Nothobranchius furzeri: one gene and its partners. The protein of the gene in region 2 purifies or fractionates together with the protein of the main gene of each other region. This does not show direct contact. Links are inferred from orthologs where the notes say so. Each region holds a gene or a part of one and is shown on either strand. Other genes may lie near its edges. The genes, in order: mrtfab, serum response factor and myocd.

What was found.
Region 1: the proteins of serum response factor (region 2) and mrtfab purify together in Homo sapiens (affinity purification with western blotting; 4 studies listed by BioGRID and IntAct, with this or other methods). This does not show direct contact. The link is inferred for Nothobranchius furzeri from reciprocal best matches to the Homo sapiens genes SRF and MRTFA.
Region 3: the proteins of serum response factor (region 2) and myocd purify together in Homo sapiens (affinity purification with western blotting; 3 studies listed by BioGRID and IntAct, with this or other methods). This does not show direct contact. The link is inferred for Nothobranchius furzeri from reciprocal best matches to the Homo sapiens genes SRF and MYOCD.

The regions. Positions count from the first base shown.
Region 1 is NC_091756.1:27,813,984-27,823,500, reverse strand, and holds the end of mrtfab (myocardin related transcription factor Ab), read right to left. Parts: intron 9,012-9,517; coding exon 8,840-9,011; intron 8,753-8,839; coding exon 8,360-8,752; intron 8,285-8,359; coding exon 7,283-8,284; intron 6,978-7,282; coding exon 6,777-6,977; intron 6,691-6,776; coding exon 6,598-6,690; intron 5,204-6,597; coding exon 5,063-5,203; intron 4,944-5,062; coding exon 4,848-4,943; intron 4,277-4,847; coding exon 4,216-4,276; intron 4,134-4,215; coding exon 3,556-4,133; 3' UTR 2,801-3,555; downstream 1-2,800. UniProt on the Homo sapiens protein: Transcription coactivator that associates with the serum response factor (SRF) transcription factor to control expression of genes regulating the cytoskeleton during development, morphogenesis and cell migration.
Region 2 is NC_091752.1:3,796,916-3,807,311, forward strand, and holds the start of serum response factor, read left to right. Parts: upstream 1-5,420; 5' UTR 5,421-5,765; coding exon 5,766-6,416; intron 6,417-10,396. Other genes in the region: ptk7b (inactive tyrosine-protein kinase 7), read left to right, coding at 1-41, 123-355, 433-513, 687-838, 925-1,103, 1,227-1,387. UniProt on the Homo sapiens protein: SRF is a transcription factor that binds to the serum response element (SRE), a short sequence of dyad symmetry located 300 bp to the 5' of the site of transcription initiation of some genes (such as FOS).
Region 3 is NC_091756.1:4,142,845-4,152,902, forward strand, and holds the start of myocd (myocardin), read right to left. Parts: upstream 4,980-10,058; 5' UTR 4,833-4,979; coding exon 4,778-4,832; intron 1-4,777. UniProt on the Homo sapiens protein: Smooth muscle cells (SM) and cardiac muscle cells-specific transcriptional factor which uses the canonical single or multiple CArG boxes DNA sequence. Acts as a cofactor of serum response factor (SRF) with the potential to modulate SRF-target genes.

The DNA of each region.
Region 1 (9,517 bases), on a different chromosome or scaffold from region 2:
CAGTTACAGCAAATAGCCACCGGAGGGCAGCAATTTCCCATCTTCTCATTATTTCTTACTGCTGTTTGTTGCCAGCAGAGGGCGCAAATTTCCCATTCTTTTAAGAAAACAAACTTGTGTTTGGAAGAATTTAGATGTAGTGTCTCTTCCAAGAAAGGATTTGAACTTTAATAATCAAGATCCATCTTCTCCTTCAAATCCTCCACTTTTTCCTCCACAATATTAATGTTCCCAAAATGTTTAAAATAAAGATTGGAATTTTTTTTAAAGCTTCATTAAAATAAGGAGGTTAAAATATTTTCTTCTAAATGGCAATAACGAACAAAGTGCTTTTTCAGGATACAGCCATTGAAGGACAGCAGCTCCCCATCTTCCTTTTATTAACTGCTATTGGAAATATAATGCTGTTCTGTTTATTGCCAGCATTGAGATGAAATTTTTAAAGGAAAAAAACAGTCTTTGGAAGAAATTAGATAGTCTTTCTGCTAAGGAAGTCTTTTACCTTTACTAAAACAGGTTCATCTCCTTCAAATCCTCCTCCTTCTCCTTCATAATTTTATAATTCCCAAAATGTTTACTAAAAATATTAAGATTTTTTAAGCTTCGTTAGGACAAGGAGGCTACAATGTTCAATTCTAAATGGCTAAAATGAAAAAGGTGCAGTTACAGCAAATAGCCACCGGAGGGCAGCAATTTCCCATCTTCTATTCATCTCTTGGGCAGTAGGAGACCCATGGACCAAAGGCTCTCCAAACATTATGTTTAACAATTTTGTCATAATACATCTAGAAAATCAGAAGAAAAATTATTCAGTCACTTTTTTGATGAATTCTTTCCACGTTTCTATTTTTATTTTAAAAACTTTTTCTGAGCTGCACTGGTTAAACTTCATCCCTGAGTGCTGGCCTCAGGCTCCTGGAATACAGAACAGATCTTTAGTCCTTGTGGTGCTGCTGCCTTTTGGAGCGGACTAGTTAATTAGTTGCATGGCCTCTGGACTTATATCTGCTTTGTAAATGGGAGAGAGATGTCAACTGTGGAGGGGAGCTGCTCTGCCCCACGTGTCTGTGTGAGAAGTGACTGTGAAAGCTGGTTGGAGGTGCTGGAGTCTGGGATTCAGCGCTGCAGAGGGCTTGTTGGGGAATTTCAGAGGATGGGAAATGGGGAGGCTGGGGAAAGAAGAGAGAAGATAAAGCATCAACTCTAAATCCCAGACAGGTTTAAGGGATGTTGCAGACGTAAGGCTGAGAACATGTGGTGAGAAGAGAGATTGTAGCAGATTATTGAAATTGAAACTTTCAAAAACAAGATGCTTCACGATTTATTAGTAATAATTAGGGCTTCATTGCTGCTCACACCAATTTTGGGTCTGATTGTGTGAAAGACACTGATCAGACCTAAAAAATACGACAAGAATGACGAAATGCAACTCAAGAGACCAAATCGCCAAAATAAAACGTGAATAATTTAAAATTATATTTTAGATATTTTATCACAGGTGTAAAAACTAATTATTTTAATTAGCTTTAGATAAAACAGAAATGAAGGTTCCAAACAACACATGAGCTCAGTAATGAGTAGCTCCATCGGTGATCACATGCTTGCTCATGAGGTGAGAGGGAACATTTCTCCAAGCGGTGAAGACGTCCACTGTCTGGAACTCTTCATGTTTGTCAACCTCCCTTGTCATAAATCCTCAAAGGTCCTCCATCAGTTTTAGATCAGAGACATGAAGGATGGCCCAAAAGAGTGATGTTTTCCTAGAAGTAGTCCCTTGTCCTGTGGGTGTTGTGTACTGTAGCACAGTCCTGTAGAAAACCCAGTGGTTACCACACAGAACAGGCCCTCAGTCAAACATCTGGACACAGCCAGCAGCCATTGATGTCTCTGCACCTCCTGCAGCTCCACTGTTCCGCAGAAGGAAAAAGCACCTTGTCCATGATGACCCCCTCTACACATAGAAAACCTCTCTGGGATCTGCTTGTCATGCCAGTAATGCTGGAAAGCATCGGGACCATCAAGGTTAAACTTCCTCTCATCAGACCCCGGACCTCCAGCTCAGTGCTGATGAAACGTTTCTGTTCCATACCCTCAGGGTCATTTAAGACAACCGTCTCACCTCAGCAGTGAGAGAGCCTGCTACTGCAGTTCAACCACCTTCAAAATGGAAACATTTGCTTTCCTTTTCCATCAGAACGTCATGACGATGTGATCGCCTGATAGAAAACCCCAACAAATCCTAATTTATACACAATATGGCCTTTTAACAGCCTGCTTCAGTTTAAGCTTCGTTTTCAATAAATTGCTGCTCACAGAAGGATTTGTCTCACTCCCGTTTCTTCTTGTTGCATGTTGAAGCTCAACCTGTGGCCTTCTTAAGACCCAATCAGGCAAAACATGAATTTTACAGTTGCCTTAAACTTTGGATCAGGACTGTGCCTGTAAAAGTAGCTCGAATGATCAATAAAGCGATTGAGTTCATTTTTACACTATTTGAGCGCATATCTATTTGAAGGGTCATATTGTCAGGATAAAGCACAACAATGCTTACCGGCTGAAAAATTATTTACATTTGGTTTTTGCGTCAACACGAGCCTGAAAGCCAGTTTGATTAAAGGTGTTTGTAAACAATAGCGCCCTCTAGTGTCGTTTCCTATTTTCACCCCACCTTACCTCGTTTACAGTTAACTAAAGCAGTCTTCTAACTAGTGGTCATATTTCAGATTAGGATTATTTATGCGTTTCTGTCTTTGCTGATGGACTGCTAGCATGCAGAAATGACCAAAACAACTGCATCCGATGTGTTTTTATGATTTGTTTATTTTTTAAAAATGACAAGGACAAAGTGTTTTAGAAGCCCCGCCCCTTGCTCCCCAGCCGGCGAGCTCGACTCTAAAGCAACCAGCAAAGAAAAATAGTCTTATGGACATTTGATAATATACACCCCATATACAGCAATACATAGTGGTCTACCATAATGTTACCAATAATACAAAACCTCCAACGAGGCTGCATTTCAAACCGTTGCTGCTGATATGGTTCAATTCAACTGGCAACCAGTGACGATTGTTTGAGTGTGTGTGGGGTCAGGTTGCCACGTTGAAAAGCGGTCAGCTGATTAACAGAACGCACGGTGGTCTTCTCTCGATCCGACCGACCAGCGCGGAGATTCAGCTGCTGAGCTCGACGTCTCCTTCAAACCAATCAGCTTCAGCATAAGTGCAAAGTTTAGGAGGCACGGACACACACTGCTATTTCAGTCAGGACTCGGATGACTTAAACCTAGTTACAGCGCAGGTCTGTTTGATTCCTCCAGCAGGAACCAGTCTGCTTCTCACCCAGGTCAACACTTCAGCTTCTCTTCTGTGGAGTCTACAACCACGTCTTTTTGCATATTTCGCCTCAGCTGCGTACAGAAACAGCCAGTGACTAACCGTGTGAGTGTGCGTTTAAATGTGCCGGTGCCCCTCCCGCAGTGGTAGAGACAGCATAGAGAAGTATGTGCATGAAGTGAATACAGAGCCTGTACAGTGTGAGCGACCGCCTGTCCACCAGCTACAGACACGACTCCCAGTGCAGCTGCAGGTCCGTGCTGTCCAGAAAGTCAGCTGAGAACACACTCGGGGGAGTGTGTGGTGCCAGCGGGGCTAAATTCGTCCCCCCGTCTCGCTCACCTGCTACACCTCCTCCTCTCCTGACCCTGCTGTCCTCGCTGCCTCCACTCTCAGTCCCCATAGAGATGTCCAGCCAGTCCATGCTGTCCAAAGAGGGGACACCAAAGTCCAAACCTGCAGAAGGAGGGGAGAACCCCAAGTCAGATGTGTCCATGGGAGACGGGGGGTGGTCCAGGATGCTGGGCGTGCTCAGCATCTGGCTGTGGAGGTCGTCGATCAGCGTCAGGTCTCCGTCGGGCTCCATGCCCAGCAGCGGTGTGCCTGTGGTGCTCTCCAGGAAGTCTTCCAAGCGCCCGCTGCCCGTGCATGACTCGCCTGTAGACGGCTGAGGGGACACTAGCGTCTCTGTGGGGGTGGGGGAAGACAGGTGGAGTGGGGACGGGAGGGTAGACGGGGAGGGCGGGCTGGAGTGGAGCGGAGCAAGGGAAGGGTCTGGGTTGGCCTTGAAGCCGGGGATTTCTGAGGAGAGACAGACGGTCTTTTACTTCAGACAGACAGGTGATGTCATGAGTCTGTCTCAGGGGTTGAAACATTTTATTACCTCCACTCTTCAGCAGGATGTCGAACAGGTCATCCATCTGCTGGCTGTTCACACCGTTCTCCTGGTAACACACACACACATCAGCTACAGATGAAACAGCCATTCGCTGCACTAAAACACAGTCATTGCTTGACCTTTGACCTTAACGATAAGTGAGAGATCGGGTGTTTAATTCGAGCATCAACTTCAATAACAGTTCATCAAAGCTTGGCTAGCCAGAATCTAGTTTTGCTCAGCATTTAACCTTTGTGTCAGTTTCAAATGAACTTAATCTTACATGGTGAAACGACAGCTAATGGTTCTGTTGCATCTTTAAAGTCACTCAATGCTCGATCTCTAGTGATGGCACAAGATGTCACACAATCAGATCGAGCAGAGTTCCCTTTTTGCCACGACAGCTAACACCTGACTGATCAGAGTCGTTCCGGGAAACGCAGGATGCATTAGGAAGATGAAAAGCGGACAAATAAACCAAACAGGCTGAAAATGAGAAGCTGGTCAGACAGGCGCCTCAATCCTCGTCCTCCAAGTTCAGTAACGTGAGCAGCTCATAGAGACGGTGGAAAATCAGGTGCAGACATAAACAATCAATACAAGAAAAATGGAACGAACAGAGAAGCTGGAGGACGTACTTTGGAGCGCTGAAGAGGAAGGGAGGTGTTGGGTTTAGGAGAAGGAGGGGTGAAGAGTGTGTGCCGGTCGTAAGGCAGACACACTTCCTCTCTCTGCTGGGGTGGGGGGGGGATGGATAAATGAGCAGAGAAAAAGGAAACAGACGTTTATAAGATGAGAGGAGAAGCAGAGGTGGGATGTGTCTGATGAGGAAGAGGAGGAGGACGGTGTTAACCTTCAGGGAGGACATCAGGCTGACTTGGCTTTCGGTGTCTGACATGTCCTCAAAGAAAGGCTGTAGGTTGGGCGGAGCGGTGAGGGGGGGGCTCGGCTGAGGAACGCCGTTGGTGTCCAGGTGCGGACCGGGTTTCTGTTCCTGAGGACAAGTGGAGGACAGAATCAGACAGGAAACCTGGACAGGCTGAGAGGGTTTCAGTAGGCAATGACGACACCTAGTGGTGTGTTGGTCTTACTGCGTGACAAATGTATCAGACTAAAGCCGGGCGGACACTGTGCGACTTTTTCACTCGTAGCACTCAGCTTCAGCTCAAACTGTACGCAGGGCAGATCTCACGAGTCATGTGCTCACACTGCACGACCCAGTTCTCGCATGCGACCTGACTGCTCACACTGTACGTCTGGTAGCAACACGTCGGCCCTAAAAATATGCTAAAAATAGCAGTTTTTACACAACACGTCAGACTGTTTAGTCTTGTTTTGCCTGTTGTCCTTCGGGAGTGCTGCAGGAGGACACACAGGGATTTATGGGGGTTGGATGAGGAAAACGAAATAAAGAAAGTAAATCTGTGTTTTGTGATCAGTTTAATTTGACATGAACACGACAAACACGCTTTCTTGACAATCCTTGTCAATGTGTGTAAAAAAAGACGTTTAGAAATAAAAACAAACAACGTGTGTTATTAGGGAAATAGCGGGCGAGCGGTGTTGATGCAGGATTGCGCATGCGCCGTGAGCGGTTCTGGCCAGCTCAGTGACCTAGTGGTAGAGTGTCCGCCCTGAGACTGTGAGATCGGGGGTTCGATTCCTGGTCGGGTCATACCAAAGACTTAGAAAAAATGAGACCCAATGCCTCCCTGCTTGACACTCAGCATTAAGGGGTTGGATTGGGGGGTTAAACCACCAAATAGTTCCCGAGCACGGCTGTGTCTGTAGCTCACCGCTCCCCCAGGGGATGGGTCAAATGCGGAGAACAAATTTTGCACACACATCTGTGTGTGTGACAACTAATGGGACTTTAACTTTAACTTTTTGGGTCTCAGCCGCTCGCTGCGCTGCTTCAACCCTCAGGAGGAACGAGCAAAATATCAAACACATGTCCGTGCGAGCTCACGATTGCTGATCGGTAGCTGGTCACGTGTGTTAATCGCCTCTCGTAAGCCCTAGTACACGACGCTCAGCGCAGAACTCGCCCCGATCTCGTGGATTCTTGCACGAGTGGAGAATCGGCTCAAAAAAGTGAAAAAGTCACACAGTGTACGCCCGGCTTAACCCTCTCAGGCTCAAAATGAGTTTTGATAAAAGGACGAACTACTAAGTCCTTCAGCGGTACTTCTGAGTTAGAAAATGCTCATGAAGTACGTACGTGGAGTGACCAGGTAGGTAGGTTTTAACATTGCAAATCTGCAACGCCTGCCTCCAGAGGGTTTAATGCATGTTATTTTTTACAGAAATCAGATTATTTGAATGTGCAGTCATCTTCTCACATGAAGAGTTTCTAACAGGTCAGGTTAGGGCGGGATTTACTTTTACCTTCTCGTCTGATTGGCTCACAGGATCCTCCTCAGGTGGTTCTTTAGACTTGCTGTCGGTGCTGGGGAGTTTACTTGGAGTAGACTGCAATCTCTGGAAGACAAGGATGTTTTACAGATGAATACTCTGACATCAGTAGGAAGCTGGTGTGTTCTATCAGAGGATGGTATCTTCTGCACCTGCAATGTGATGCGTCCATTGATTTTGGCCAGTGAGGAGACTCTGTTTGGCCTGTCTGAGTTGTTACTGGTCAGAGCAATCAGGTAGTGATTGCCGTTGCTGTCGGTGACCAGTGTTGGGGTGCCATTGGCCTTAAGGTCTAAGGAAATGGCTTGAGTGTGGAGAGGAGTGCCGTTCTGTTGGTTGATGGCTGGAGTCACCTGGAGGCAAATAAAACTATATTTTAGTTTTTTCTATCTGAAGTGAAGGAATGATGAAGTGTTATCCATCAAGCAATAACTTAAATGACCATATCAGCCATTTACATTTAATTACTGTGTGTTTAGCTCCTCCCACATGCTTCTCACACTGCCCCCCATCTGGACAACTCTCCAGCAGGAGAGATGAGGCAGTGCAGAATAAACACTCACCACCCAGAGACAAACATTGTTTAAGTCCTAATAAAAGCTGTAGTCAGTTAGCTGCTCTTAGCTTATAGCACTTAGCCCGTTTCAAACAGCATCACCTGCTGCGTGGCTGCTGCTGCTGCCTGTTTCAGCTGCTGCCTCTGCTGCTGCCTCTGCTGAGCCCTCAGCTGTTTCCTCAGCTGGGTCTGGCTCACTGCAGGCTTCTGGCTCGTCACCGTCTGGTTCTGGATCTGCACCTGCACCTGCTTTAGCTGGACCTGGTTCTTCTGCTGAGACTGGACATCTTGGGCTTGTTTGGCCTGATTTTGCTGGACTAACTTGTGCTGTGCAAGCTTTTGCTGTGCTAACTTCTGCTGGGCCTGGAGCTGCTTCTGTTGGGTCTGCTGGATGATGAGCTGCTGCAGCTGCTGCTGCTGGTGGAGCAGGATCTGGGCCTCCCTCTTCTTCTGCTGCTGTTTTTGGGGGTTTGTTTTGACCTCTGTGTTTTTCTGCAGCTGGCCGTGCTGTTGTTTCTGTTGCTCAGCTTGGAGCTGCAGCCGATGGATCTGCTGCAGCCTCAGCAGAGTCTCCTGAGAGCACTGCATGGGTTGGGGCGGCTTCTTCAATTCAGCCTCTTCCGTTACCCCCTCCATCCCTTTCTCAGGCTGCACTTCCTCCTTCACCATCAGCACGGTGCCATTAGGGAGCACGGGGGGTTGAATGGCTGAGGCTTTTATTAGAGTCTGGAGCTTAACCTCTGGGGATGTTCTGCTCTTCTCATTTCCTTCTTTCTTCACCACCACACCACCTGCCATCTTGCCTTGCTCCAGCTGTGACCTCAGAGTCTCCACTAGCCTCTGCTTCTGCCTCAGCATCCGGGTTAACTCCTCAATCTGTTTGTCCTTCTCCTGGAGCATCTGGTCTTTGTCCATAAAGGATATGTCCATGGAGACTCCATGTAGGGAGTCTTTGGGCTGGACAGGTCCAGATGAACTCCTGGACATGCTGCAGGAGCTCTGAATCTCCTCCTTGACAACAGAGAAAGGCTGGGAGAGAGGAGAAACGTTTGGCGGGTGCTGAGGGGAGTGGTGGAGGGTGAGCTGGGTGAGTGGAGAGCTAACCTGAACCAAAACAAGAGAAGATCTTTTAAACACCAACAGAAACAAACATTCACCCTAAAATGATCCAAGTCTCACCATCTCTCCAAAAATATCTCCATTGCAGCTCGTCTCATCTGGACTCAGCCCAGCCAGTGACCGCTCCGACGGCGTTGGTGACACCGGAGGGCTGGAGCTGGTGCTCCCAAACCTCATGACCCGACCCGGAACCGCCTGAGCCAACGAGGACAGAGCTAGCTTGAGCCCTCCCTCTGCGGGCGGCTGCTCGGGGACGAAGCTCGGAGATGAAGCGCTGGTGTTAGCAGCCGAGGTAAAGCCCTGCTGACCTAACGGAGATGGGCTGTTGTTTTTCAGAGCCGATGCGTTGCTGAGATTTTGTTCCTGGTAGTTGCGGAGCCTCTCGATTAGATCGTTCTTTGTTCCTGAGACGGTCAAACCACGCAGTTTCAGTTCTTGCTTTAACTCAGCGACCTGCAGGAGGAGAGACAGGAACGGGCGCTTAGGCTAGACTGAAGACAGCACTGGTGACCAGATGATTCCTTTATTATATCAGGTTACTTTGAACTCATCCAGATTGGCTGGTAGAGTGGCCGGTTTGGCTCCTCCCACTGCGATCTGGCTCTGGCGAGAAGTCGGGGTCTGACCGGAGGGGGCTGTGGTCGTGGTGTTGTGAGCGCAGCGGGAGGGGGAGGGGCCAGAGCTGGTGGTGGGAGGCTGCTCAGCTTGTGGTCTGAGTGGAGACAGAAAAACGTTCAGTTTAGCATAAATCTCTCCTTCTCTTTCTACAGAACAGCCCATGATAAATGTTCCATCTCCAGTTATTATAACTTCTACTCTGGAAAATATGTAAACGAAGCATGAGAAAAATAAAAAAGACACTTTTGACCTGTTTGACGTTGTAAAACAGTTGTCGGGGTTTGAACTGTAGCTGACAAATGTCATGCTAGGCTGAACTGAGTGTGGCTTTTAGCTCTGACCTCTGCTCTGAGATGCAGCTTTTATAAAGTCTCACAACAAGGAAACAACAAGCCACAGCAGCGCTCTAGAGGGGACCGCCACCACTCATCAGCCCATCCCACGCTGGTTTGCATTCGACTGTCCGTTAAATTACCTCATGGATGCACAAATGCAGATGATTACGTTATGGAGCCAACGCCATTGAAAAATGTCTGAGCCTCAGTTAATTATACAGATACGGAGTTAAAATGGGTGCAAGCTCTATTTTCTGTGAGGTTT
Region 2 (10,396 bases):
CCACTTTCCTCGTGCCAACCTCCAAACCCTCACGACGTTAGGTAGAGTTCAACGGCCGGATCTGAGAGTGGATTGTTCCGATGAAACCCAACTCACACACCTGAATTCTGATGTTTGCTCAGGTAAAGGCGAGTTCGGGGAGGTGCTGCTGTCCAAAGCAAAGGGCACCGATGAGAGCGACACAGAGGCGGTGGTGCTGGTCAAGAGTCTGCAGTCCAGAGACGAACAGCTGCAGCTCGACTTCCGCCGCGAAGCCGAAATGTTTGCCAAGCTCAGTCACCCCAACGTGGTCCGCCTGTTGGGCCTCTGCAGGGAGGCAGAGCCGCACTACATGATCCTGGAGTACTACGACCTGGTAGTCAGACAGGAACACTCACTCGTGCATCTGTAGGTTTGTTTTCATGTTTAAACGCATCGCTTTACTTTAAACAGGGAGATCTGAAGCAGTTCCTGAGAATTTCCAAAAATAAAGACGACAAAGTCAAGTCTCAGCCAATCAGCACCAAGACCAAAGTAAGTCCCGAGTGGGGTGCATGTGAGTCCCACAGTAACAGATTACATTTGGCCCCGCCCCCTCAGGTGCAGAGTCACAAACGTGATGGGAAAAAAAAATCAAGGAGTCGTATCGTTGATGCTCTTGCATCATCCTGATCCCAGAAGGTGTCAGCTGTTTTCTCTCCCTCCAGGTGTCCATCTGTGCCCAGGTGGCTCGTGGCATGGAGCATCTGTCCAATCACCGATTCGTCCACAAAGACCTCGCTGCCAGAAACTGTCTGATCAGCAGTCAGAGGAGGGTCAAAGTGTCGTCCCTCGGCCTCAGCAAGGACGTCTACAACAGGTTTCAGATTTTAAAGAATCACGATAAATCCTGAACATTTAGTTAAAATGACATAAACACGCTTCAATGACCCGTTTCTGTGTTAGTGAGTACTACCACTACAGACAGGCGTGGATCCCTCTGCGCTGGCTCCCGATGGAGTCCGTGTTCGAGGACGACTTCTCCACCAAGTCTGACGTGTGGGCCTTCGGAGTGTTGATGTGGGAGGTGTTCAGTCACGGAGACATGCCGTACGGCAAGCTCAGCGACGACGAGGTGCTGGAAGGTGAGCGTGGTCTGGCATTGGCAGGTTTTGTGTGTGTGCGCGTGTGTGTGTGTGTGTGCGTGTGTGTGATTCATTCGTCAGTGGTGTCCCACTAATGTGGGGAACGATCCCCTTCATTTGCAGGTCTAAAGATGGGGAAGCTGAAGCTCCCTGTTCCTGATGGATGTCCTTCTAAACTCCATAAGCTGATGCTGCGCTGCTGGGCGCCCAGCCTCAAAGAGCGGCCATCTTTTTCTGACATCGTCCACGCTCTGGGAGAGCTGCCCTCTGACAGCAAAGTCTGAGATCAGAGGGGAGCGTTTACAGACCCTGCACCCCCCCAGACGTAAAGACCTAAATGCTGGATTACTACATTTCAGGGAAGAGCGTTGAAGAGGAAACGTTTTTATATGCATTTCAGTTCTGGGAGTGGAAACACTCGCGTGGCTCCGCAGCATGGATCAGCTTCGTTGTGATTCCACTGTTTGCAGCATCTCTGTCTCAGAGAGGCTTTAGTTTCACCCGCAGTGCCTGCACCTCTTCACACACACACACACACACACACACACACATCATCATCATCATCATCATCTGCAAAGCCCATTAACAGACAAAACTTATCATATCCTATAATTATCAAAGAATGTGTGAAGTAGGACCTGATTTGCTTTGATCTGCTTCGTTTTTACTCCTCCATCCTAACTTCTGCGGGGATCTTTAGCCGCCTCTCCACGAGAAGAGCTGTCGTCCTGTTCGTGACACAAAAACAAACAAATCCACGTTATGGTTACACTACAGGAACAAACAAACACATTTTATAGCCAAGCAAATGGCCTTTTTTCATAAATGTCTTGTTTTTATTATATTTGAGGTGCTTATCTGACACCACAGATGGGTGAGAAACCCCGTTACGTAAACATCATCATGTTAGTTGCAGGAACCGAGCCAATCATATTTAGCCTGGAACGTCCACGGAGGTCCCGTTACGTTTTATTTTGTTACAAGACGGACCATCGCGCCAGATAAACGTGTAAATAATGTAGAAGCCATGCACTAACTTCACTTAAAAGAATATCCCTCTTTTGTTTGTTTAGAAGGACATGCAGGTGCCTGTTTGTTTATGATGAAGGTCCTGTTTACGTTTGTCATGCATTGTTTATAATTGGTACTTTGGTGAAGTTGTTAGGTTGGTGTTCAGTCTGGTACATAACTGAATAAACTAACACTAAATATAAAAGAGTGACTCGCGGTCACCAGATAAGTGCCTAGTAAATGAAGGATTATTATTAACAATCTCCCTTTTTCACGTTATCTAATCGATGGCCTTTGTTTATGAGCTGGGTTTTATGTTTTTATTGTTTTGGTGTATGATGTTTGTGTTTTTTATATGAATGCTAGGCGCTCACACCTAGACTTTGTTTTCTTTCATCTTTCTTCAGCAAATGTTCACAGTAATCATGGATATATTCAAAAGTATACATGCTGCTGTCAATAAACATTCACAGTGTTTTTACTCATCACGAGATCGTCTGAGTTTCGTGTGTCAGCATTTAGATTTGGCGAAGAGATTCAAATGAAAAAGTCACGCTCCCTTTAAAGGAGACGAGACTCTCTGAAGGTACAAAGGTTGTACCGTCGATATAAAACATGTTAGATCCCTTTCACGTAGTGATTTCGGCTGTTTTGTTCTTGACATTTTCAGTACCTTCCAGAATGAGTCGTTTCAGGGCTCTGTCACTTTAAGAATTTAACCTGAGAAGCTCCGACATCCGAGAGGGACTCGCACTGGGGGGCATCAGCAGCGGGACCGTTTTTCTGGGGAAAAGTCCACATGAAACGGCACTCCCATCTTTTCCATCCTCCTTTTTGATCACCTCGGCCAGTTTGGATCGACCCCGACTAAAATGACTTATTTTTGTAACTGCGATGTTCCGCTTTCATTCCACGCCCCCCGATGAGAACCAGGCTTGAGAGGAGAGCCACTACTCCTCCAGCAGCAGCTCTTTTACACATGAGAGCTAGTTTTATTCCCCATTTGTGATGTCACAATAGGAGGGAGGTTTTTTTCATGTTTTGAGTCTTTATGAAGGATGCGTAAACTTGCATGGAGGCAAAAAATTATGCGACAGGTGAGTATGTCTCCCTTAAAGCAGTGCTTCTGAACTTTGAAGTGGAGTTTCATGGAAAAGGCTACAGTTTTGAAGGCACTTGACTGACCTCGTTGTTTGAGCCTAACTAATCTGTTTCTCCAAACTGAGACCCTTCGTAGTGCTGTCTGTAAAAGATAAGAAATTAAAACTCACATTTCTACAAAAACATTTTCTTCACAGTATATAAATGTTTCTCAGTTGCAACACGTTTTTTTTTAACCACATGATTGTTTTGTCTACCTAAATATGGAAAAAATGATCTTGTTTCCACTCGGCAGCAGTGTAGAGATGCAGCTTCCTGTTGCACCTGTTTAACACATGAAGACTCTGGTTTGCATGTCATTTCTGCAAGTTAACCATCATAAAAATGTCTAAAATATGCAAACATTTGTTGAGAATATTATTGAAAAGAAAGCGTAATGGTTGGCCTGTAGGTCCTAATGCACGAGTCTGCAACTTTTACAATCCAAAGAGCTGTTGTGGACTGGGGTCCACCACAATAAAAGTGTTTAGAACCCCAACTGTTAAAGGACCTTAAAAAAAAGAAAGAAACTTCTTTATGCCCTAAGATGGTTATGGACAATTTTTCTTGAATTTTTCGAAAAAAATTAAGTCTGTTTAGATTTTTTCTCAGATTAAAAAGTGAAAAATAATGTTCTTTCATAAATATCTACTATGAGATGTTCATTTTCATTAGGTTTTAAAAAAGAGGATATGGTTTCCCATGGGGTGTAAAAAATTAAACGATATTACCGGAAATTTTTGTTTCATTTTATGGAAAATTCAACAAAATTATTCCATAAATTTTTTTTAAATCTGCTTACCCAGATGTATGAAGACACTGCGGAAGGTCCAAAGAGCCGCTGGTTCTGGTTTAGCAAAAGAACGTGCACTTCCCCGGGTTCGCCTCTAGGGGGTGGTATACAACCTCAATCTAATCTAATCAAAGATAAAAACCTTGTATTGCTCCAACTTAACATTTACTTTCTGATTTGAACTTGTTGGGGGATTTGTGACATTTCTCCATTGTGGAGTATTAAAATTAAACATTTTGTTCACAGCCAACTTCACACCTGTTAACGAGGCTTCACTTGAGAACATATTATGGTTGGATTAACGATCAATATATCATGTCATGATTCTGTTTTACATCATAACACAATTCTGTTTTTAGTTATTTTTTTCCACTGATCTCTGGTGGTAATAAAACCCCTTAGCGAGAGGTTCTGGCATCTTTCCTCTTGATGTTTGGTTGAAGTCAAATCAAAACGTTATACCTGGGGTTTGTTGCAACCTGTCTGTTGCAGGAGGTGGGCGGAGTTCACAGCCATGTTTACAACACTGATAAAAACAAATTAATTAGGATTTTCCCTCTTAATACATTTTAAATGTAGCTTGGTCTGCTAAAGAAATGCAGTTTTGTGTGACAAACATTTTATTTACAATTTTCGTACAGGTTTATTAAGAGACATTATATTGGCAAAAGAAAACATTTAATTTTTGCCGTTTGAGATTAAATAAGTTAACGGCACAATGTTTAAATCACTACAGACTGAGGAGTTTAGAGGTTTTGTGGCATGACGGTATATTCATGAGGGAGATGGTGGTCAGATTATTTTAAACTCTAAAGTAAAATTATGAAAACATGTTAACACTTCAAATGATTCTAAAGAAAGCCAGGCTACCTGGAATCTAAGCATAACAAGTAGAGGAGTGGCTTTGAACTTGTGCACATACCGCTGGTGCAGATTCTCAAAAGTGCACCTGAAAGAGGAGTTTAGCAGTTTTTATGAAGGAGAAACTCTGGCGCAAACCCAGCTTGCGCTATGACTTTGTGCAACCTGTAGGGATAAAGTTGTGTGTTATTGTTGTGATGGTGTCTCTGCATGCCCACGGTGACGTCGACATTAGCGCAACCATTTTGGTATTTATTGTAATGAGCGTGTCCTGTCGACCAATCACAGCGCTAGTCAGATAATCCTCAGCCAATCAGCGAGCGAAGCTGTGACTCGCCAAATAAGGAGAGACAGCACCAAATAAGGAAACGTTGTATCTCTTTATAAGGAGGAAAGTAGTTCCCCGGTTAGGATATCCCTCCGCCGTCAGATAAACTTTTAAAATGAAACACTTGGCGGTGATTCAGAACGACGAAGCGTGAAGCATTTAAACAAAATGGTGTCACGTGTGATGTGTAGTTGGGTATCGATTGATATTATTGTTTCATTGGTCTCACAATGTGGACTATTTGGCGCGGCGTAGGCATATTTGGGACGCTGTTCGCGCTTTCCTTTTTGAGAAAGTGCTGGGAGTTTTGGAGATAGAGGAGGAGGGTGAACCAAACCGAGCTGCGTTGACGGGTCCTGGGGGCAGCATCACTCTCGAAAGTTTGTATCTGTCATTTCCCGGACTCTCCGAACCGACCTCCGGCCTGGCTTGTTTACATTTATTGGGCCCAAGCGTGTGTCGGTTCTTCGCGGTACACCACGCTCCAGCTTTCCGGGCTGGCGGTAGTCTTCTCGGGCCACCAAATAGAATGTTACCCAGCCAGCTTGGGTCGGCACCATCTGGAAACGGGTCAGCATTAGGCAGGGGTACCACGGGACACGGTTCGGAGGCTGTCGGTGGCATTCGCCCCGTCTTAGTCCGAGCAGGGCAACCTTTAGCTGGGGTGAGTGAGAGCGGCGGAACTGCGGGGCGGCAGGGGAACGCTGCAGTCGGGATGCTGGGGGCAAACGGTCCGGGAGGTTCGAGAGGCGCAAGACCGGGAAACGAAACCGGGGCGAACCCTCTGCAGACAGCAGTCCAGGGAGGAAACATGATTGCGTTAAACACGGGTGTCGTGTTGCCTCACGGAGCACGATTCAACCCGGACCGGGAGAGCCACGGAGCTCACCTGTGCAGCGGCTCGGATAATGACTCCGACTCCGGGGATGACGACGACCCAGTGGGGTCACTCGGGGACGGCAGGAGAGGGGTGAAGCGGGAGAGGGGGGAGATGGAGGCGGCTGCGGCTGGCCACGAGATGGGGGTGGCTCCCGGAGGATACGGCATGGTGGCCGGAGTCGCCGGGGCAAAGCCGGGGAAGAAGACACGTGGGCGGGTAAAGATCAAGATGGAGTTTATTGATAATAAGTTGAGACGGTACACGACTTTCAGCAAGAGGAAGACGGGCATTATGAAGAAGGTGAGTCAGGTGACACCTGCTGCAGCGCGTGAGCTGTAATAAATGGTGAACGGGAAGTCGGTTCTGATCCACGCACTGTGTTTTGTTTTTATGCAACAAAAGAATTCCTTCTGAGACCCAACGGTCGGTGGATGTGAGGAAGTCTGAGCTTTCATGACGGGCAATGAGCTGGAAATAGACTTGAGCAAATGACAGTTCTATTAATGACCACCCCGACACACACACACACACACACAGAGGACCGGACACACTCATTCATTCATGCATGCACTCACTCACTCCTCCGGTCGGGTCCAGGTTCCTGCTGGAAGGTCTCCAGCGCAGGCTGTTCCCTCCTTTGCAGCCATGTGGCATTGAACTGCAGTGTGCCATCAGCTGACTAAACCCCAGGGAGAGATCAGGGATGGCCGGAGAGCACTTACACACACTTACACACTCCGTCCATGCGTGATGGCACCAGCTCATCCAGCCTCATCACTGTCTTGGTTTCAGCTTTGTTTGAGTGACAACCCAACAGGTGACTCTGGAGATGATGATGATGATGATGATGATGATCAAGCACCCTGCTACTCAGGCCCCATGTGAAGACACTTTTTGTTTTTGTGTTTTTTGTAACATGCTTCTGGAAAACAAAGTTCAGTATCAGACTAAGATAACCCGAGTCAATACAAAATGCAGTTTTCACAAGCAGTCATGATCAATGTGGGAAAAGTACAACAAATGAAATCAAGTCTTATCCTCTCGTCTTTACAGAATAGTTTTAATTCAGTCAAATTGGAGGGTTGTCAAAGCCTAGAAGTCCAGGTCGTCGTTTGCTGAAGCAAAATGATTTTGCTCTGCATGTCATAAATAGGATGGCTTGCCAGGTTGAGTTTTCCACCGTGAAAGGTCTGTTTAAGGTCAGACGTGCTTCTCCAGGATGTTCTGCTAGAGAGCAGAATTCATGGTTCCACCAGTTGCAGTGAGTGGTCCAGGTCGTGGGGCATCCCCAGACCATCACACTACCACCACCATGTCTGACTGTTGCTATGACAATGTTTTAGTGTGACACCAGGTGGAACTGGACACACACCTTCCACAAAGTTCCACAGAACATTTTCCCTGAAGTCTTGGATCATCATGATGCTTTTTTAATGTGAGATGGGACTTTTGGTCAGTGGAGGTTTAGGCCTTGGAATTGTCCCGTGATGCTGTTTTCCCATCATTTCTTTCCTGTAGAATTGTGACCCTTGACCAGCTGAGTATATACCGTCCTGGAAAGCAGCTGGGTGTGCCTGCTGGGACTGAACTCGCTTCATAACGGGTCCAAAGTTTATTCATGATTTAACAAGGAGGCTTTTACTTTTCCATGCAGGATCAGGCTGGTTTGGACAGATTTCCTTCCCCTTTCAAAAAAAAAAAAAAAAAATCATTTGAAAACACAAGTTTGTATTGACTCGGGTCATCTGTTGTTTTTCTCGTCTGAAACTGTTAAATGTGACAAAGAGCAAAAACTGAAGAAGTACTTTTTTCGTATCCAGTAGTTACATTCTGTTAAGTACTATTAAATATGAAAACACAGTCATTCAAATAAAGAATGACTTAAATGTGGCAACAAGTCATGCACAGTTATTATAAAATTAGCTGTGAATCACAAACAGAGCCGTGCAGTGGACTTTAAACGATGACTCTAATGTAAAGTTGTGCTTTATTGTATGTTTTTGCAGAACGCGCTCTCTGCACTCTGCTGTGTTTCTTTTTTCGTGCGTTTCCCAGACTGTTGTCGTGGAAACTGGGGTGTCTTTGTGTAGGCTCTTGGCAGCATCAGCACCATTTGACACAATGTTGGGGTGGAAATGGTGAAAATGTTGCCCACACTCCATGCCAGCCTTTACAGAAATCAACAGGTGGGTGGAGTGGGAAGATTCATAGTAGTTTGGGTTCATCCCAGTTTGAGACCAGTCTGTTTTGAAGCATGTAATAAGTAAAGGAGGCCTGTATGTTCTTACACCATAGGTGTCTGGCATCTACACGTAAAGTCTAGTTTGACATCTAAAACGTGGTTTTTTGTCCGTGTGTGTACATGTTTCATTGCATGCCCAGAGGAGGGCTCTTTTCGTTTTTCCTTCAGCTGTGACTTCACTTGCAGAGCTGTTTTTAGCACCTTTCAAGCTCTTTTCACAGCAGGATCAGCAGAAGAAATGACTAATGATGTTATTAGGAGGCGAGCTCTGTTTCTTTTAACTTCTAGTATCTAATAGTCAACAGGGTATCCGCGGGTCCTTAAAAAGTCTTAAAGTCTTAAATTTGCTTTTCCAAATTTAAGGCCTTAAAAATCCTTAAAAATGACTAATAATCCTTAAATACAGTTTCCAGAGGTCTTAAATGTCCAAAGACCCAATAAACAAGATCCTTTTATTTCTACAAAATTTTCATAAATTTCTAGTTGGTGTTCAGCATTTTTTGTGTACGATATTGGCGTAAGCGGAACCGTACACATTCAGTTGGTTGTGAAAGGGGGCTATTTTTAGATGAGCACATTAGCTGTTTAAGATAGTGGGAGTTTGCGCCATGGGGAAGTGCAAGTTTAATGGTAACTGGATGGTTAATCCCACGTTGGCGACGTGGTTAGCACCGGTTCCAGGCAGTAGCTGGAAATTATAGCTTAAATTAAATTTAAAAAATTTGCTTAAATTTGGTCAAAGTGGCCTTAAAAAAGGTCTTAAAAAGTCTTAAATTTGGCTCCCTTAAACCTGCAGATACCCTGAGTCAAGCCTGGAGTTTATCTGCTGAGGCTCACTGATGCTGGTTTCGTACAGCTCAGACCTGCCAATGCCGCTTTTGACACATTCAGATCCACTTCAAACTAGAGATGCACCCACAACGGTTAAGAACAGATAACAGTTTCTGCAGATGCTGATGTGTCTCAAAGAACAGAATGAAGTTCAGACTTCTACATGGAAGACCTGTAATTGCTATTGCAGCTTGTTTTTGTATTTGTACAACAGCCACTAGAGTCCTCCTGATTACGAGGCGGGCGCTTAACAACTCTGCCTCTGTGACCCATTATGCATCACTGCTTGGTGGTGGTGTGATTGCTAAACACATGACCAGGTCAAGGGATGTTCAAGAACGTATTTATGTTTAAATTAATATCCGATATCCTTAGACCTGGGACGATAACTTTTGCCGGACGATATATTGTCCAACAAATTATTGACGATATTATCGAGACCGAAGTAGCCACTTATGTAATGTTAATATGTCATAATAATGCTTTAAAATGCAACTATTACACTGTTATCTAATACAGGAATGTCCAGAAGCAGAACTTCTAAATAAATAAATGCATAAGGACTTTCAGTTTGTTACAAAATATTGCACCAAAAACATTAGATAGTAGAGGTGCTGAAAAAAAAGTCGATTCAAGTCTGAATCGGGACTCTTATTTATAAAGGTTCGGAATCGATTCCAGGAACTCAAATGTTTGGCATGTTACAGGTTTGAGACGCACTTTTGTCTGTTGTTTTGGTCTTTGTTAGGAGAGTCGGTACTCCGTTTACTTTTGTGGTCCCATAAACTGGGATGTGTCATTTTTGAATCTGCTGATAAGTGCGGACTAGAATGTAAATTTTTTTCCATGCTCAGAAATTTGATATTCTCATATTTATTTTCTAAGTTGATAAGCGAGTACTCAGGATTACTCGTGTTTATTTGAAGTTATTGATAAATGAGAGAACACATTTTCCTTTGTAAGAAATCTGAGGCACTTTTTTAAACAGGTCTGGGACTCAAATGTTAAACTTGTTTCCACAGATACTTAAAAAGTATTTGACTGTATTACTTTCAAAGCTACTGTTAGGTAACTAACGATTTGTTATATTTTATAAGGTAAGCAAAAATAAATGTAGCCTTTTCGTCAAAAGATTGCTTCTGTTTACAGTTTTAGAATCACTTTAATTTACCTTGTAAATTAGCATATTTTTTATTTTTAGCATGAC
Region 3 (10,058 bases), on a different chromosome or scaffold from region 2:
ATGCACCTCCCACTACACCCTCACCCCACAGACATTGGCCAGACATACACTCACTTCCTGATTGGCGCCCCCCACCCCAAGCAATAGCTGTAGTGCTAGCAGGAATAAGGAAACAGACTCTAGGATCTTGTGTAGGTAAACTGTCTCCCTATGCTGTGATCCCTTACATGACCACTATGAATTCATTTTAACAACTTGATGTTCTTTTGTCTGTGGTCTAAAAGAAGTCATAATAATGAACGTGGATCAGAAGATGGGACAACAACAACATCTTGGTCCCTAAAGCGCTGCAGTTTGCTGCTGCTGGTAATTTTGACGCTTGTATAGAAATATTTCCACTTCCCAAACACCGTGGTAAAACACCAAAAGTGTCTACTTACTGCCAGTAAAGACTCTGTGTGAAACAGCAAAGCAGCTGCCGTCAGATCTGGTTTTTGGTTAACAAGTGTTGCCTGGTGCCGGCTGTACGGTGAACGTGTGTGAGCCGTGCTCTCAGCTGCTCTCAGCCTCGCGCAGTGTTGACTTTGAAACCGAAGACATTTGTTTCGGCATGGGGTCCTTTGACAACAAAGGACATACAAATCCACGGCCACATTTACAAGTGTTCAGATTTATAGTGTAAATAAATGATGATTTGGCCTGGTCTGTGCAGCTGAAGTGGAGATAATTAACCAGCGATAGTGTAATTTATTGTCTTTCGGTGCCTGGAACAGAAACAAAATGGGTAATACTAACAACACTTAGAAAGTTGAACAGCAACAGCCAGACTAATCAGAGCAGAAGGATCTGTCATTTGAATTCTTCTGAACTTTCTGCAACACAAACAGGAATGTGTTGCTGACAGATGAATGAGCATGGCTGCCCGGCGTCTAATAAACAGGTATTTCTAAGTGAAGCTTTGGGTTTATTTTCGTCTAATGCCTCTGCATGAAGTGGAAATCCACCTTGAAACAGCCCTTGCATGTTTTATTCCAACGGTTCCCAACAGTTGGAGTCAGATTTTCAAACGAGAGCCAGAACCTGACTGCAGGGAGACAACACTCCACCCTGAATGGTTCTGGAGAGCTTCCACTGACAGTGACCTATGGTTAACCGTGTAAGCTGATTCAGATTTCTGCTGAAGGGGGAAAAATAACACAGCTGAGGGGTTTTAAGTGCTGCCAGAGTGCCATTCACTTTCAGTGTTGGAGGACTGCAAATGTTACTGGTTCTCACTGGAAGTCATGATTACAACCGAGACATTAAATAGATGCAGGTATGTACCTTTCAGACAATATTCAGATAGCTTTAGCAGGTAGAAAATCAGCAATAAAGGCTTGGCTCCGTGTGGCCCAGCCGGGCGGAGGGGAAGAGCGTCCAGCGCACCACCAAACACAAGTCAGTCAGAAGCCGAGGGAAAACGTTCAGATGCAAGCCTGTAGCAACAACTGCTGTCGTGCTTTTCCACCAGATAACAACAGGAGGTAGAGCGGGTCGGCCAGTAATCCCAAGGTTGAGGGATTGATCCCGGCCCCCACCGGAGCATGGTAAATGGTTCATTGTCTTGCCCAAGGACACAACGGCAGCATTCTCTGATCAGAGCCGGGATCAAACCTGCAACCTTTTGATTACTGGACGACCCGCTCTACATCCTGAGCTGCTGCTGTCACAGACGGTGGCGCCTGTGTGCAGCGACCTCGCCTCTGTCAGTGCGTCTCCTCAGTGAAACGCTCTTTGGAGTCCTCGACTCTGATAGGCTGTTCAATCACCATTAACCCTCCACTGTCCTGTCAGGTGACCCCTCCAGGCTGGATAAACATGGTTGACAGTTTACCTCTTGGCAAGGGCGATGTGGTGCACTCCTAAAAAATAAATAAATAAAAAAGCACCTGGGGCTCACCTGACCCCTTTAAGGTAAAATCAGACACCTTGGTTGAATCTAAACGGATTAAAGGAAACTTAAAAGCGTCTGTTGAAACGTCATTTGAACGAATGGAAATAAAACTAGGTTTATGACGTTTGCTAACAGCTGATGTTTCTGAGGAACCACTAGAAGTTCGATGGAGAGAACCTTCTCCCGTAAACATCCAGAGACGCGTTACCGCATCTCCATCAGGTTCTTCTCAGAACTTGGAAGTTTCCTTTCTTCTGTCGCTGCTGATGAAGTAAAACACCTTTTGTTTTCTGTCCGGATTTTCACTTTAGCATGTTCCGTGTTCAAATGTTTGCTGTTTATGTTTGCAGCAACAGATGAAGTAGCTGACTTTTGACTGGCGTGACCATTTACACACACACACACACACACACACACACACACACACACACACACACACACACACACACACACACACACACACACACACACACACACACATTCATCTGTGGTTTAGAACATTTGTAAACTATTTTCTGTACAAAAACGTGAAACTAACTTTAATCTGTTTAAAGTCTCTCGTCTGCCGATCTGCGGGTTAGAGGTTGAGACTGGATGTTTAATCTGAAATCATCTGAGATAAAAATAAAAAGCAGGACTGTTGGATATCCCGCGTTAACAACAACGGTTTTACTGAGAAGGCTCGAGTCCCTCCCAACAGCACTCCACAAACCCTCATCTGGACCTTAACTTTTACATCAGATGTTTATCTTTCTTTGCAGCATTTAAGATGTGGTTCACTCGTTTAATCAACACATTAGCAGAGGAATGAATGTCTCAGAAACCAGCAGGATGCTACATCAGAGCAGTGGCGTGTCTAGATCCATTAAAATGGGGTGGCCCAGGTGAGGCACACCTTTGTGCAGGGGTGGCACCAACAGTTACGCTTTCTTGTTTTACCCCCAAGCCTTTTGTAGACAATGAAAAGCCTATTTAAAGGTAAATTAGTGTGGTGGCACCTGGGGTGGCCAATCAGATTCCAAGGGTGGCATGTGCTACCCCAGGCTACTCCCTGGACACGCCCCTGCATCAGAGGAGAGCTGAACACGGCAATTATTTCCTGGTTTTGGGGCATCACTCAACTGATTGGCTGACAGCAACTTGACTCTACCACTGACTGTTTTCTCTACAGTCAGATATTTTGTCTCCACAAATAACACAAGCCTGGAGGAGTTCTGCTATGTGGTGGGGTTGCTAATTCTAACAGTTAGCTTCTACTAGTTCTCTGCTGTTTCCTGGACACTAAACCAACAACAGCCTTCCCCGTCGTGAGTCCAGATGGGTGAGCCCATGAATGTTAAGTTACAGTGTGACGTAGATCTGTCAGGATTTTCTAATCCTAGAGTTTCACCGTCTGTTTTCTATCAGAAGCTAATGCAGGAGACAGGTGTAGGAGACTATTTTCATGTTCAGCCTTCATGAAACACTCAGTGTGACCCAATAACTCAAAAATGGGATGATTATAATCATAAATAATCATTAAACATGGTTTTTTAGTGTTCCACGCCTTTAACAACGCTTCAGCAGTTCCCATGGCTTTGATAAAGCGGTCAGGCAGCACAGAAACAGCGACAATCAGCCGTTTTCACACACAGCTGACTGCTCCCTAAGGCTAGGACCGAGCAGCAGCAGTTCCCATGGCGAGTTGTTCTACTGTGGTGGAAAAGAATCAACAATCTGTAGTTTTCACAGAGCGCTGCATGTCACTGGAGCTGCTGCAGCACACATTCACAGACCCCTCCTGTCATCAGCAGTCAGCACACAGATTTCCAGGCTGATATCCTTCAGATACACTCACAAACCTCCTCCAGCTCTAGTTGGTGCGGATTCCTGTGACGCTAGGCAGACTTGCATATAACAGTATCTCTACATCTGTGCTGCATTACCCTAACACACAGCCCAAAGCCGCCTCTGAGAGAAGCCCGGTGCTCCGCGCAGCGTGGAAGGTCATTTCCCAGCTCTATAACGCACTTGAAGGAAAAGTGACATTTAGCCAGCAATCTCAGGAATGCAGCTAAAGCTCACGGGCTGAGTGGGAGCACGGCGAAGAGCAACTCTGATCTACAGGAGTCCCGTCTTCTTGAGAGGAGCTGCTGGAGTCGTTTCAGCGGTCCGGCTCTCCTCAGGAGGTGGCAGTGTTGGTCAGACTACACATCCAGACGGGTCCTCAGTGAGAAACTCACACGGACCAAACTAACACACCATTAGCATCATCCGGCTTCCTGCACCGTTAGCATTAGCTGAAGGCTGAGTTGCCCCAAAATGTTTTCAACTGGTTTTGTTTGTATTATTTAATTGCTCAAAAAGTTTGTGTATGTGAATAAGTAGAGCCATGGCTCTGTGAATGATGTAACTTGAACACCTTCAGCTTGGAAAAACAGTCCCACTGAGGCCGGGACCAAAGTGGACTAAAAGCTGAAACTTTAAGATTTCTTAAAACAGTTGATCCAAACAAATTTGTCACAAAGCGCTGATTCTGGTACGGATCTGTGACATTCGGGTTGTTGGCTGCGTGTTCGACTCGGCTTGTTCACACCTTTACATTTGAAAGCTGCTTTTACGATGAGCCGTCTGCTGCTTTGTAACCACAGAGTTCAACGTAAACCTGAAGTTCTGGGATGGAACAGACCCACGGTGGTCTGGTCCCACGTGGACCTACTCTGCTTTTACAAACTGTCATATTTGGTTGACCTCTGAACTTTACAACATCCATCTTTATGGGGATCACTACAGAGAGGAAACCTGTCTGACAATTTCACAAACACACACACAAACTCATGTACGCATGCATATGCACGCATACACTCACACACACTGTAAGCTCTGACATGCCTTCAGGGAAAGGTCAAAGGTCAGTGCACTTACCTGATCTAAATTTGCTTCGTATCAGCACAGAATGTTCAGAGCCCAGGAGAGTCATTCTGATCCTAGTAGAGGTCCCGCATCAAAACGGTGAAGAAAACATGTAAGAAGTGACCTCTTCTGGACCGTAGACTCATGTGAGACAAACTGGTCCCTGGCTGCCTCATCAATACACACACACACACACACACACACACACATACACACACACACAGGCTTCCTAGCTGCACAGGCTGTGCACACTCTCAACACCGGCCCTTTATCTGCTGCCTTCCTCGTCTCCCTCTCCCCTCAGCAGCTGATGTGTGAGTGTGCGGCTCTGATGGGGCTTTGGTTCTATCCAGATGAGAGTTCTGAGTGGGGCTGGGGACAACACACACAGATATGCCCACTCACGGAGGGGCCAGCCCAGGCCGGGGTTTCCTCCAAGCCCCGCCTGCTGCAGCCCAGAGGCATTTCAGGGTTTGGCTGATGACTTCTTCCTCCCCTGCCACCAGGATAAATATATCTGCCTATCAGCTCTGGCTGTCATTAGAGAGTAGAGAGGAAGACCAAGATCAGATTCAGAACAGAATTCAGCAACAGATCACATGGCTCTTGGGGGTGTGAATCAAGCTCTCGTGCATCAGTCCAGCAGTGATCCTCTCCCGAATCAGCATCTCTATGACGCGCAGTAGTCCGCTCACATTTTCAGGACATGTTATGATGCATTTGAAGGAAAACCTGTCATATTTAAAGCCACAGCAAAGTGAGCTTTCATGTCGGCCTGTTCTCCAACACTGTTAGGAAACGTCCACTTTCAATGATGCCATCCATGTGGCCGGTATCATGTTTCTCAAGGATCGCTCACATATTCCAGATCTGGGAGGAACATTTAATAAAAACATTTAGTTTACCCAAGAGGTGTCAGGATCTGCTCCTTCTCCCTCTGACTCGTCCTCGCTCTCCTCACTAAAGAGCAAAATAAACTTTTTTAGCTGATAACTAGTATAAATGAGTGTCTAATAGTGTTGTAGACATGTGTAGTCATTATTTTTGCATTTTGATGCGTTTCCTTTGAAAACTCTTAATTCTGTCTAAAAACATCAGTCTAGCGCCATCTTCGGCTCAATTCAATTCGAGTTTATTTATAAAGCACCAAATCACGACAAGTCGTCTCAAGGACCTTCACACAGTAAACACTCCAGTACAGGTCAGTTCATTGAGCCAATCAGAAATAATGTTTCCTATATAAGGAACCCAGCAGGTTGCATCGAGTCACTGACTAGTGTCAGTGACTATACAGCAATCCTCATACTAAACAAGCATAAAGCGACAGTGGAGAGGAAAACTCCCTTTTAACAGGAAGAAACCTCCAGAGAATCCTGGCTCAGTATAAGCAGCCATCCTCCACGACTCACTGTTCTAAAGCCGTTTCGATTCCAGTGGGCTGTAGCGACCATAGTTTAATTGCGGTAACAAGGAAAACAAAGATGCCTAAAAAAGGCCAATTATTTGTGTGCAGACGGATGTTTAAATATTTCAATGAAGATGACTTCATAGAAGATGTGAGGAAAATAAGTTGGACACAGGTTTTAAGTGAAGATGATCCATGCCAAGCAGTAGCAGTTTTCAATGAATTGTTCACAAAGGTGTTAGACAGACATGCTCCTATAAGGAAACGCGCTGTGAGAAGGGTATCTGCTCCATGGTTGGATGAAGAATTAAAAGAATATATGAGGCAGAGGGATAAACTTAAAAATGAAGCAGTAAAAACTAATAGTCCAGATAAATGGAAAGAGTATCGTAGATCACGAAACTTTGTAACTAAATTTAATAATCATAAAAAAACGGTTGTATTATCAAAAAAGACTAACTGATGCAAAATCGGATAGTGCAAGATTATGGGGTACATTGAATGAAATGATGGGTAGGCATAATAGGTCAGCTCCAACTTTTTTGGATGTAGGGGGAACTTATCTCACTAAACCAACAGAAATTGCCAATTATTTAAACCAGTTTTTAACTAATAAAATTAAGTTGTTACGAGATTCTATGGAAAATAGTCAAACCAAAAATATTTCCTATCATCTAATTAAACAAAAAATAATGTTAAATAAAAACTGCCAATTTCAATTTGATAAAGTGACTGAAGACAAGGTTAAGGAGATAATATTAAAAAGTAAAAATAAACCATCTGGCATAGATAATATTGATATAAAATGGTTAAAGTTAGTAGTAGATTTTATTTCATGTCCTATTGTTCATATAATAAATGGAAGTTTTAAAGAAGGTATTTTCCCATCTCAATGGAAAACAGCAAAAATAATACCTTTAATTAAGAACAATAGAGAACCACTGTCTGTTCAAAACAGTCGACCAATAAGTTTGCTACCAGCTTTAAGTAAAATCATGGAAAAAATTGCATATGATCAAATTCAAGATTATTTTGAGTTATATGAAATGAACACAAAATATCAACATGCTTACAAAACGAATCACTCAACCACTACTGCACTTATTCAAATAACTGATTATTGCTTAGAGAATATCGATAATAATAAGCTAATTGGTTCTATATTTCTTGATTTAAGTGCGGCTTTTGATGTTTTAGATCATGATATTTTATTACAAAAACTTAAACACTATGGATTTCATACATCTGCTCTTAACTGGACTAAAAGTTATCTTACTGACAGAGAATATCAATTTTATTTCAATGGCAGTTTTTCTGAAAAGGGTCTGATGGAATGTGGTGTTCCACAGGGAAGTTGTTTGGGACCACTTTTGTTTTCTATTTTTTTGAATGATTTTCCGTGGGTGCTGCAACATGCGACTACAGCAGTATATGCAGATGATATTACTGTTTTAGCTTCAGCACATACGGAGAGTGCATTGAATGAAATATTAAATGAAGAGTTAAGAACAGTCGAGCAGTGGATAACTGCTAACAAATTAGTGATTAATGCAGGAAAAACTAAATGCATGGTAGTTGGCTCCAAACATACTTTACAGACGATGCCAGTTACATTTAACCCTGAGTAACAACGTAATAGAACAACTAGAAGAAGTAAAATTACTAGGAGTTATAGTTGATTGTAAATTATCATGGACAAGCCAGATTAATTATGTTTTACGCAAAATGGGGAGAGGTATGGGCATAATTAAATTTTGTTGCAAATTTATACCACAATATTTACTTAAATGCCTTGTTCAATCATTAGTGCTTTCTTGTGTAGATCAAGCATCTGTTATTTGGTCCAGTACAAGTGAAAATAATTTGCATAAGCTACAAGTTGCACAAAATAAAGCTGCTCGTATTGTTTTAGGCTGCCCTTACAGAACGAATGTGGGAACCATGCATGAAAAACTTGCTTGGCTTGATGTGAAGAGTAGATTAAAGTATTTCGTGGTAACAACTGTGAGGAAAATAATAATTACAAAAACACCAAAAATGATACATAGCAAATTATTGTTTTTTTCAGATAATCATACTTATAATACACGACAGATAAATTAGATGAAATGTATTTTACCACGCAGTAGAACAAATCAAATTCAACAATCTTTTCACTATAAAGCTATGACTGCATGGAATGCATTGCCTAGATTTTTAATTTTCGAAAGTAATAACATTTCTTTTCATAAGAAACAGAAAATTTTTTTGTTTACACACTTAATTGTATAGTGACTATGAACTCTGCAACGAAGGATTGAAAATCTGTGTTTGAGGTCGAGTACTGAATATCGATGAACTATGATACGAAACAATGGACATGATGTCGCCATTCTGTTATATTTTATTTTCAATCTTTATTGGTGTGATTAACTCCTTTCCCGATATTAGTTTATATATGTAATTTTGTTCTAGATATGTGATTTCATCTTGAGCTACTGGTATTATGGGAATTAGGGATGTGTGTGCGTGAATGTGTGTGTGTTTGTGTGTAAAGGGTATTATCTCATGTAAACAACTGTATGAAAATGTATGAGACCCCAGGAAGACTAGCATCTGCACTTAGGCAGAAGCTAATGAGGATCTCAATAAAACGAAACAAAACGAAACTGGGGATCGAGAAGACAGAGCACACACACACACACGCACGCACGCACGCACACACACACACACACACAAAGACAAGTAATGTGTCTATAGTTATATTGTGATTTCTTAGTAAATATTCTATTTGGCGAGAGATAAACTTTATAGTATTTATCCTAGTGGATCTATAATTAAACGGATAAACTAGTATTAGCACATCCAACGTCAAGGAAAGCAAAAAGTTATTATCAGGAGAGGAAGAATGTTTTAGTGGTTAGCAGCAATGTGCTAGACGATAGCCCCCTCCATGAGGCCACCACAGCTCAGCAGAACATCGTTGTAGCTTCTTCTGGGGAGAAAAACACTTACAGAGAAAATAAAGTTAACAGCTGAAATAGCAGAAAATAATACAGTTAAAGAGCAGACTGTAGAATAAAGCAGTAGTGTGAAAAGTGGTCAGTGTATCCTCCAGCAGTCTAAGCCTATAGCAGCATAACTACAGAGATAACTCTGGATAATCTATCCTATTTAGATGGAGGCATGTTGGAGGCAGGGCAAGGGAGAGCCGTCTTTACCGACTGTACACTCCACCTCCCTGTAATCCCCCACTTGTCCAGATTTAGGCTAACATCAGATTTTAACCATAGGCCCTATCAAATAAAAATGTTTTAAGCCTAGTCTTAAAAGTAGACAAAGTGTCTGCCTCACGGACTAAAGCTGGGAGCTGGATCCACAGGAGAGGAGCCTGATAACTAAAAGATCTGCCTCCCATCCTAATTTTAGATATTCTGGGAACCACCAGTAGACCTGCAGTCTGAGAGCGAAGTGCTCGGTTAGGAACGTATGGAACAATCAGATCACTGATGTATGATGGAGCTTGATTATTAAGAGCTTTATATGTGAGAAGAAGGATCTTAAAATCTATTCTGAATTTAACAGGTAGCCAATGTAGGGAAGCTAAGACAGGAGAGATATGATCTCTCTTTTTAATTCTCATCACAACTCTAGCTGCAGCATTTTGGACAAGCTGAAGACTTTTAACTACATTCTGTGGACTTCCTGAGAGTAATGAATTACAGTAATCCAGTCTTGATGTAATAAATGCATGAACTAGTTTTTCAGCATCACTCCTGGAAACGATGCTTCTAATCTTAGCAATATTCTGAAGGTGGAAAAAGGAAATCCTACAAACCTGTTTAACCTGGGATTTGAATGACATGTCCTGGTCAAAGATAACACCAAGGTTCTTTACTTTGCTCTCGG